Linked DNA regions of Drosophila melanogaster. The protein of the gene in region 2 interacts with the protein of the main gene of each other region in a pairwise test. Each region holds a gene or a part of one and is shown on either strand. Other genes may lie near its edges. The genes, in order: Dyro, CG13293 and CG12985.

Region 1 (3,759 bases), 5.2 Mb from region 2:
ATTAATCACACTACTTTGGCCTGGACGCACTTGCATTGGCACAAAGGCAACTAAGGAAATGCAAACACTTTGGCGTTAATGAGTAAGCGATCGCTTATACATCGAACAATTTGATAATTTTAATTATTTAATTCAAAAAATACTTCATCTGGCCCAAGATGATGCCTACCAATATTCAAGTATATAGTATCTAAATTTTAAATTCAATCATTTAAAAGTAATTATTTTAGTACATACACATTTCTGTATAGAAAGATTAGGGATTAACGGAACAAATACAATAAAAGTTTTTTATATTTTCGTTATATGTTGTAAATCCTTAAATTTAAATCTTTCACATTTAAGCGTCAGCGAAGTGGCTGTGTTTATTAACTTCTTGTGCTGCAGGGTATGCATAAGTCCGTAAAACCGGTTTTTTGTCGAGGTAGGTGCATGGTAATGTCAGCTTAATACCGTTATCGTAGGTGCGGCAAACACGTCGCTGCAGCTGCGACTGCGCCGTCAACTGCGGCAGCGTCCCTGCTTGCTAATGAGCCGTTAGGATGGACAGCAGAAGGAGAAAAAGCCGCAAAAGCTTCCGCAATTCAAAACAGCTGAGCTAGAACGAGAAGGAGCGATTGTGCAAGACGAAATGCAAAACTGATAAGAAAAGTCCGTTTAACGTGCTCCAAATATGTGTGTGTATGCCTGCGTATGAGACACGGAAATTCGGTGAAATTATACAAAATATTCGCACGTGGTTTAGGACACGCCATTCAGAGGAGAAAGAGAAGACATATGTACTATGTATGCATGTGTGTGTAAGAGCTGGAAAAGAAGAGAGGGAGTGCAGGCGAATGCAAAATCAAAGTGCTGCCTACGTGAGCGACACCTTGCGATTAAGTGACAAAAAAAGTTCTCAAATAAAGATCGAAACAACTAATACCCTATCGGCAAACAATTTGATACAAACTTATTAAATTCATTATTCATTAAATACACATTTTGGACACATGCAAAAAAATATCGGCTTTAAATAATGCTTGAAAAACTTAAACTTTAAACTATGCTAGAAAAATATCTGTAAATTCAATTCTTGCTCTAAAGTTTCTTATGGGAAATTACTTAAACCTCCTTTTTAGTTAAATAGGCAATACTCTTTGTAAAGGGTATAATGAAGCAGAATAGCTGAAAGACAAGCCCGAAAACGTCCAAACTCTCCGTGAAATGCAATTCCTTTTTCGATTCTTTTTCTGTTATTTTGCTGACTCGCTAAATTTGTTACCGTGTTTTCGAGCTTTCTGCTGTTGTTGTTATTATTTTTGCTGTGTCCAGCAGCAGCAATAATAAGAACAACAACAGCAAAAACGACAGTGGCAACGATAACAACTTCTCAGCCGTGCTGATGAGAGAAGTGCGAGAAAGAGAGGGAGAGTGAGAGGACCAGGCAGCAACAATATTTACAGCTTTAGCGGCCAAAAGCACAGTGGGGCAAAAGATGTTTTAGGGAAAAAATTATTCATAATTGATGTCCCAAAAAAGGCATGTAAAAATCTCTCGAAGAAAAATATATTTTAGCAATTATTTTACGACGTGTTGATTTTTTTAAATATTCAATCTAATATTTTTTTTAACTTTTTCCGAATTCTTTTAACAACTGAACCATAATATGAATATCGAAATAAATTTAATCACGAACACAAAATTTCTATAAAGCAACTTTAACTTCAGTTATCTATCTGAATATTTTAATATGTTTATTCTATTTTTAATGAAAGCCACCTTGTTCTACGTGATTTTTGCCAACGATCCCCTACTTGCAACACGAAAGCTGCAGCCGCCACACTGTGCCATGTGTCGCTGTTTAAAAATAGGCTTTTGCCTAGATGCTTGTGTGTGTGCTCGTTGGTTTCCAGCATCTCATGGTCGCCGCCGTTTGGCAACCGCTGCCACATGCGCAGAACGATCGGATCGGGCCCACTGTGCAACGTGGGGCTGTTGACGACAGCAGCAGCAGGCAGTCGTAGCAGCAGCAACAGCAACGATCGCAAGTCGCGACACGAGCAAAGCGAACGGAAAGGTGTGTGGACCAGGGGGCGGGGGAGCGAAGAGCAAGTGACGAACTTACGGCCAACAGCAGCAGCAACACCAACAACAACGGCAACCGGCCCGTTTGGAGCAGCGCGCATGCCACACACAGTTTAAATATGTGAAATTAGTACAAATCGTGATTTCAACAGCGAACGACGAGCGACGAACGAGCGTCGACGAAGTGGCGACAACCAAAAAAGAAAAGCACGAGAGAGCAGCAGCAGCAGCAGCAACAGCAGTAATAGCAAAAGCCACAGGCAACAACAGTGGCAGCCACAGCAACAACAATCGCTAGAAAAGCAGCAGCAACACAACTCACCTCAGCAACAAAAGCAATAAAGAAAACTGATAACACCAGCTGGAATATCAGATGATTCACCAACAACAACAACATCGAGGAGCAAAAGCAACAACAGCTGATGCCACAACTTCAGCACAAAGAGCAGCACACCAGCGGTAATGAAACTCAAAACAATAGAAACATTGAAAATAATATTTACAACAATACCACTATCAACCACTTGAGCTAGCACAACACCAACAAAAGCCAAGAATAATTACACCAACGCCAAACGGTACACCAACGAGAACTTTCAACAAGAGCAACTTTAGTAGAAGTAACCGCAACAATAATAATAATTACACCAACATTTATACCAATAGACAACAATCTACAAACAACTGTAACTTTTGTTGGTGTGCTCTCTATAGGGGCAACAACTACCCCAGCCGCAGCAACACCACGTCGCACATCGGTGGCGACCACAACAACAACAACATGCAATAAAACAGCTGATAGCGACAGCAGCAGCAGCAACAACAAAGCCTGCCATTATCAAGCGAGCAACAACAGGTCGCGAAAAAAAAAACAAAAAGCCCGCCTGCTGCAGCACACACACACATACACAGCCATACAGAAGAGCGGGTGTGCGAGAGAGAGAGGCAAAGACAAAGTCGCACACCTTTACCTTTGCGTTGATTTTGGACGTCGCAACTGAACAACTGACGCTTCGCGCTCGCTCGCTCTCCGTGGGACTCGCTCTCTCTCGCACAAAGTGCAGCTGAGCTGCCGCCGCCGCACTTGCCGCTGCCACAAATACAACACGGCCAGCTGAACGAACGCTCTACGCTCGCCGCCGCCGCTGCTGCCGCCAGTCGAAAGTCAAAAGCAACGTGTTGTGGACGCTTTTTTCGTCGCGTCGTTGCGTTGCGTTCTCTCTCTCTCTCACTCCTTTTCCTATCACCAACACAACCATACAACCGACACACCAGTACACCACCCACCAACCACCCACCACCCCGAACCCCCGCGCAGGCTGGGAAAACTTTCACCATTACCAACAACAACAACAATGTCCAGCAGCGCAGCCACAGCGCAGTTCAAGCTCGATGCCAACTCCAATGCCATTGCTTTGATAGCCGATGTTGCCACGCTGCCACTCCCCCTTTCGCCCACTGCAACAACAACAACGGCGGCGTCGGGAGCAACAGCAACCGCACCAGCTGATCGCGTCGAATGGTCGCGCTCGACGATCTTGAACTTCATCGAGGACTATCGCCGGCAGCGAGTCCTTTGGGATCCCAATACCAAAGGTTACCACATTAAACAGACCAAATACGAGGCACTCAAGCTCCTGAGTCAGAAATATGGCACGGAAATTCGTTCGATTAGATCGAAGATCAAATCCC
Region 2 (3,759 bases):
GGCCGTTAAGCCAGCCATAAAAATGCAAATTGCCCAGCAGCGTCACTCGATGCCGCGAAGGAACCCGTACGGCAGATACTCCACTTACGGCGATGTGGAGAACTATGCCCCACCGCCCACCGAGTTTGTGGGCGAGCTGACCACCACCACAACCACCACAATTACGGCCAAGTCCACGGAGGAGCTGTTGGCCGCCTGCGATTGCTTGACGCCTCAGCAACAGGCTGCCATTAAGGCGGCCCAGTACCAACTCAGTCAAAATCAGAAGCTGTCCCACCAGAACTCCTGCCAGTTGGGATACTACTCGCATCTGCCGCGACCTACCACTGATGTGGGCACCTCCACCACTAGTCAGCAGGTGCATGGTGCAGGAGATGTCCAGACGACTTCGGAGGCCACCAGATTGTAGGTCAAAGTTGTCTAGACCGTAACGAGATCCGTCTCAAGAATAATATGAGTGCACCATGGGTAGAGGGTGATGATCAAATAGTTTTGAAGTTTGATAGGCGTGTTCAGTTAATAGAGGTTTAAAACTAAATGTTATTTTAAATGAGAAAGAATTGAATGAGTATGAAAAAAAATATTGAATAGAATAAAAGTCGAATCAATCATTTTGATTAGTCTGGTAATTAAATTATTATTTAAAAATAAAAATAGAATTTTCTTTCTAAACTGATATCTGTATATTCAATGTTGTGTAATTTTTGAACAAAATTATATTAGGTATTTAAGGAATAGATAATTTAATATTTTGTAGCTTGACTAAAAAATGTAGAAAATTATTTGTTTGGTATCCAAATGTAGTCAATGGTGAAAAAAACCTTCTTAAAAAAGATAAGAATTTAGTACTCATTCCAAACTTACCTCATTCAAATCAACTCACACGCCTAACCTGTGCATGATTCACTTAGTTGAACCGCTCATGAGTGCACTCATATTCTGATCCATTCGCGTCTTCGAAAACCGAACATCGAACTCATTTGAAATGGTAACTAGAGCCAAATTTTAAACATATAACTCAGACAAAAATCAACATGTAGCTTAACTATTCAATAATATGTTAAGTGAGTTTTATAAATGTAAGATAAATATTTAGCATCCAAAAACCGCAGGACAATACACAGAGATAAGCCCAAAAGAAGATACTTCTAAGAGTAGATGATTCAGAAATTAGAACACCTTAAGACCTATAAAAACTAAACTTATAGCTATCTTCTGTTTGTGAAACTCACTTAATATATAGGCGATATAACTAGGACGCTTTGACGTTTAGATTTTTGGATTTATTGAAAGACTGAAAAGCCACGCGCATATTCCAAATGAGAGAAAAATCTGGCGTCTTGTAATGATAGATAGAGGATTATATATGTATCTGTATTTGCCATATAATATGGTTAACCTATCATGCGACTAGATACTGTTTTACATGTAGCATATACACACTTAAGCATATATATTTATTGCATACTGTATCCGAACAATGTAATTTATTTCATTGTGATAGTGAAAGAGCACTAAAAACCGCAACAATTTTAGTCGCATTTTTATCAAGCAACCAACCAAATATAATTTAAAACGCTTTTATGTAATGCGAAATGTAAATGTTATTGAACTTATGTATTGCAATAAAACTCAAGAAATGTGTTCATGTAGTGTGACCCCTAGATAAAAATAGAAACAGAACAAGATATATTATTGGTAGGAGGAGGAATTATTCTTTATTCCTGCGAAAATTTTCTAAAAATAAGGTGTACATAGAATTGAATTTATTTAATAAAAATCGGCTTTATGGGTTAATAAAAACTTGTGGAACACCCCAGGGAATTTCATCAGCTGATTGGCTCGAAAGTGGCGCCACCTACCGTACCTATTGGTCATTTTACAACCCCTGTAGAGTGTTACCATTGGAAGTCTCCACATGTAACGTCTTTTCGCCGGTCAGCTGTTCATCCCCCGCGAAATTGGCAACTGTCAGCGACGCCCTCTGTTGGCCATCGCTGGCACCAGGCAGCTGTCAAAGTGGCAAAAAAATCAATACCAACCCCCAACCCTCCTCGTTAAAAATGTAAATGCGAAAAAATTCAATACTGTGCAGCCAAACGCGACGGTCGCAGCGTTCTCCACTCACAATCGCTCTCCCCGCTTTATCCCCCCAGCACGTAATGCTCCAGTTCCGGGATACTATCCAAATATCAGTGAAAGATTGACAACGGTTCTTGAATCGCCCCCAAAGTCCTCAGTGAAATTCCCAACAAGGGCAACTTGCAAACCGGCAAAAAAATAAAAAGCGACCCCCGCGTGTGTGCAGTGAGTGAAAAGTGGCAAAGTGTTCGAGCGCTAAGCTATAGAATACGATCTTGAGCAGATCCGGCAAAACATATGTCAAGTGCAGGGCGACGCGACTGCTAGCAGAGGTTGCGACTGCGACTTCCGCATCCGCTCCTGTTTCTGTTGTTGTTGGTGGCAGCAGCAGATACAACAATGAAAAGGTGAGTGTGCAAAGGGGTTCCCCCTGAGAAATGAAAAATAATGCACAACAAAAAGAAACTGTGATTGTTTCATCTTGGGTTATATTACATTATATTAAAGCTCATTTACTATGTAAATCTGAATGGGGGGGAGGTGGCAACTAACAGAGATGTATTTTATATCTCTAAGGGAGCAACTTCTTGCTTGCGAATTCGATTTACCCGCTAGCAACTTAAGAGTATTTATTTTTAGGGAAAATTATCTTCAAGTAAATACTTGTACTGCTGTTTTGAAACGTTCAACATTTTACGTTTTCAAATTAAAAACTTTTTAAATGGCCTATCGAAAGTATTTCACAGTGATATATTTAATTTTCCGACTACACACAGTTGGCAGCTAAAATACAAACATCCTTTGCCCACTTCGGTGCGAGATCAATTTCGATAAATAGAAATTGCCAATTAAATGTGAAATGTAAATTGCCCCCGGGTGACAGTCGAACAGTTCACAAAAAGTGTCCTGGGGGCCAAGGCAAAACTTCTCCGCTGGTCACTCGCATCCGGTTTTTGGTCCTGACAAAGTTTTTCTGCAGCTTGTGATGTCTGCAGCGAGATATGAGAATTGTAACTTTCGGACCGACTGTCTGTCTGTCTGTTTGTCTGCCTGCCTGTATCATTAGGGCAAAGTTGGCCCACTCAAGTAGTTGGTTTTTATATGTACGTCTCGTTCTGGAATTATTATTTTTTTATTCCAGCTAGGCTGCCATTAATTATGAAGGCTGAACTATGCCAAAGTTTTGCAGACACCTCCTCCGCCATCGCACTTTGAGCCGCTCAATTGTTAAACCGAAATTCATAAGTCCTAATGACTGAACGGCTGCACGAAGGATGTGGTTGGGGGGGGGGGGAGAGGTCCTTTTTGGAGAGCAGCAGGACAGAAGGAGAGCAGGACGGGAGAACAGAGGGAACAGACAACTTGAAGTTTGCTGCGGATGCGGACGTTGCATGTACGACAACATCATTATCAGCGGCGGCAGCGTCAAAATGCCATTAAATGTGTAGCCTACAATGCCTTTGAAGGATTACACACCCCACCCACCGGCGCCTCCCTATTTACACCCACACACACACACACACTTTCCGAAAGAAAAGGAGCGAAACGGAAAAAATGTGCAGCTTTGTCAAATAGCAAAGAACGCGGTGCAGCAGCGAATAGTTTCGTTCCACTCGGAGAAAATAGCACCCACTCTTCAAAATTACCTGGGACACAAACTTTTTTTTATTAACACTG
Region 3 (3,759 bases), on a different chromosome or scaffold from region 2:
CGTTGCTGTCTTATTTATTTTTCTGTACTTTTCTTTTTTTTTTTGTTTAGCTTGAGGTGGTTCAAAGTTCAATGACCGATTTTGCCTTTGCCGAAACTGAAGCGAAATGAACTGAAATGAACCGAAGTGAAGTGAGCGGCGCAGTCGCAGAGCTTTGCTGCCATCTCGCTCCCACAAACACACAAACACGCACACACACACACACACACACTGGGGCACATGGCCACACACAAGGTCAGTTAATAAAGTTGATTTTTGCTCAATACGCAATAGCGCAAAAATGTGCAAATAAAAAATATAAACACTAACAAGTGGCAAGCGAAAATACAAAAGACAACAAGCGGCAATTAAAAAAGAACCTTTCATGAAGTTGTTTTTGTGATCTCTCAAGATCGCGTTAAATAAAAACTTATCAAATGCACAATATTATGATAAAATGTGGTAATAAAACATAAATGATGTTGGCAATGATTAAATTTACTTCTCTATAAATCAAAAAGAACATAAAATGAGCATTTGGTTTGTATTATAAAGTCTCTAAATCTATTCGAGCGAACGATACCATATTTTCATAGTTTGCGATACTCATAAGATCACATTGGAAAACAAGTGTATGATTTCCCTTGCACACTTGCTGTCAATTGAATTGAACGTTCTGCCATTTTGCAACTTTCTTATAGAGAACATGGCCGTATCATTCCCTATTTCCGCCACTGTACTGACTGTTTTGTATTTTGTATGGTAATTGAAAACTGCGCATTCATTGATGACGGATGACGTCGCAGCTTTGACAGTGGCATTGAAAATTTCAGTTTCGCAAGCAGACTGCAGTAAACTGGTGACCAGTCGGCAGCAACAACAACAATGATAATGAATGCAGGAAGAACAAGAACAAGAAGACTACAATAACGATACTATATACCATGTATGTACATATATATATATATATATATATATAACAAAGGAACTGAATGGCCGGCATGAATTTCACTTAATAATGTGTTGCCCGAAAAACGTTTTTTTCCTCTGCATCTATGGAATTTCATCTTTCAAATAACTCATCTTGAATCTTAAATCAATTATGCGGATAGCATGTTTTCCCTGACTTTTATGCGTAATTTCAACGAAGAATTTGAATTCTCTCACGGAATAAATGTTAGTATATTCAGTGTAAATGAAAAATACGCAAATATCTATTATAGCGCTATCTATGTATCTATGAATCTGTATCTACAGATCGTTGCAATTGTTGATATTACTTCCGCCAGGTGGCGTTTTCCCCACCGCCAGTTAACTGCATTCATGGTTTCTGTTTTCCGCACACTTATTTATTTGGCCGCACTGATTAGAGACTGGAATCACAATAATAATAACCAAAACAAATGGCAGCACGTGCTTAGCATCTGGTTTGTTGTGATAAAGTGCGACTTTTCCCAGCCCACCCACACCTATGCCGCTTTCTACCCTTTCTCCGCTCGCCACACGTGCTTGCTAGTCAGCTAACCAGCTAGCTAGTTAGTCAGCTAGCCGCTAGCTAGTTAGATACTTAGTTAGCCAGCCAGTTGGCTGCGTCAGCGTCGCAATTGCGCCGCAATTGGGCACTAATGAAGTATTCTTGATACGCATTTACACTGCATTGGGCAAAGGGAGAAAGAAGGTGCGAAAGGTGAGCAAGGTGCGAAAGCTGCCAACTGAGGTGCTGATTACCCATCGCTATGGCAGCCATTTATCCTGCAGGACAATGGGAAATGGGAAAGCTGGAAAAGCGCTGGTGGAAAAGTATGGGCAACCACTCAGCTCAATTAAAAAATCGTTAAAGGGCAAACAATTGCTTTTCCGTTTCACAAATACGTTCTAGCTCTTTTAGACGGTAAGTTAAGGGGTTCCCATCATCAATTAAACTGATACTATGCGAAAGTACTAGAAAGCCAGCCAACTGTAAAGAATCGCAAAATACCCTGAAATATGTATATATTCTATGGAATATCTAGTAGTTTTGAAAGCAGCAGCCTGAGTCGCTTTCCTCAAATTCCGGATTCAAAATGTATATATTTCCACCATATACCCTGCTCCTTATCATCCTCCGCATTGTGAGTGTCCGTGCGATGAGCTTCGACCAGCCCCACAACGAACACGACGCCTCCCTGGCTAGCTATTTGGACAACACCAACGATGACATATCTCCCCAGGGCTTCAACGGCGATGGGAATGGTAGTTCGGGGGCCACAGTGGTGCCATTCCCTTATCTGGGATGCACCACAAGACCGTCCTACCAATCTGGATGTGAAAGCATGGACGAAAGCGCTAGGGACCGAGAAAAAGATCGCAATATTGATCGGGATCGAGGCCGAGATTGGGATCGAAATAGGGGTTGCGATAGAAACAGGGATCGGGACAAAGACAGGAATAATATTAGAGATAGGGACAACTGTGACTCCTGTGACGAGATTATCAATTCGCGGCTGAAGGCCACCCACATTGCCCAGAATGCCGCCCAGGTGGCCAAGGCAGCCAATGATGCACAGGCGGCCGCCGCTCAAGATGCATCGCGGCAGGCGAAGATGCAGCTGGCGGAAAAGGCCATCTCCGCTGCCCGTGCCGCCGATGCGGTGCTCGAGGGCAAACAGGCAATGGTGGACAACTACGCTAGGGAGATCCGGGATGCCGAGGAGGTGGTCGGACAGGTGAGCTGCTCGCTGCAGAACAGTGAGACGAACGTGGAGGCCTCCTGTGCCGTGGTCAAAGCAGCGGAGGTTCAAGCCGAAACATTCAGGTATAATTGATAAATATTCAATATTCAATATTGTTCACAATCCATCCAACTATCTACACAATTTAAAAGCGGAACAATTATATCGTTATATCTATCATAATATCTACCAGCGATAACATATCGATTTTTAATATCAATGCTTTTTCGATTACTAATGTTTTCAGGGCCCTCGTACAGCAGACGAGTGGCATTTTGTCGGAAATGGACAGCCTAATCGACCAGTCGAACATGGATATCGAGGAGAAGAACCAAATGCTGGCGGCGGCGAAGGCACGTGGTGACCGCCTGGCCCGCCAGGTGGCGCAAGCTAAGTCGGAGTACGAGCAGGTGAAGGAGGCGGCCTGTCGCGCCGCATCCGCCGCCGTGGAGGCCAAGCAAAAGGTCGGCACCGGCAGTTTGCTGTACAAGTCGTCGGTTCACCGCCTACCCACTGTCGCCATAAGGGCCAATGGAGCGCGCGGTTACGCACTCGACAGGAACACCTGCAATGCTCTCCTGGATCTCTACAGGCAGCGCCGACGGCAGCAACAGCGAATGCGGCGGGAGAAAATCCTGAACGGACTGGATCGCTATCAAGGGAATTCACTGTACGGGGATCACTCGTACTAACAAATGCGCTCCCTACTAACGGATGCTACGTCCACAATTCTGTTTTTCTAAACGCTGCAAATTATTTTAACTCTATTTGGATAAGAGTTTCGAGATTTTTCAACAATTTCAGTTTCACTTTTTGAGCGTAAATATGAAGTATTACCTAAATGCGAGTTGTATAATCCTTGTTTTCTTGTTAATTTATTTCCTACTTTTAAGATCGTACTAAATAGCTTGCACATATCATTACAAATCATTAATGTATTGTCAGTTATGTACATATTAAAGATCTTCCCCGTATCGAGTGACCACCGTAGCTGCTTCAATACACAATTGTTTACCAACAAATTCGCCTGACAGTGTCGTAATTCTTGCGAAATAAACAATAACAATGG

What was found.
Region 1: the proteins of CG13293 (region 2) and Dyro interact in a two-hybrid assay, tested with the Drosophila melanogaster proteins (one large-scale study listed by BioGRID).
Region 3: the proteins of CG13293 (region 2) and CG12985 interact in a two-hybrid assay, tested with the Drosophila melanogaster proteins (one large-scale study listed by BioGRID).

Annotation. Positions count from the first base shown.
Region 1 is NT_037436.4:11,294,252-11,298,010, reverse strand, and holds the start of Dyro (Dpt-YFP repressor by overexpression), read left to right. Parts: upstream 1-2,091; 5' UTR 2,092-3,422; coding exon 3,423-3,759.
Region 2 is NT_037436.4:6,080,865-6,084,623, forward strand, and holds the start of CG13293 (uncharacterized protein), read left to right. Parts: upstream 1-2,018; 5' UTR 2,019-2,489; intron 2,490-3,759. Other genes in the region: ssp6 (short spindle 6), read left to right, coding at 1-409.
Region 3 is NC_004354.4:17,881,703-17,885,461, forward strand, and holds CG12985 (uncharacterized protein), read left to right. Parts: upstream 1-2,015; 5' UTR 2,016-2,105; coding exon 2,106-2,773; intron 2,774-2,937; coding exon 2,938-3,382; 3' UTR 3,383-3,536; downstream 3,537-3,759.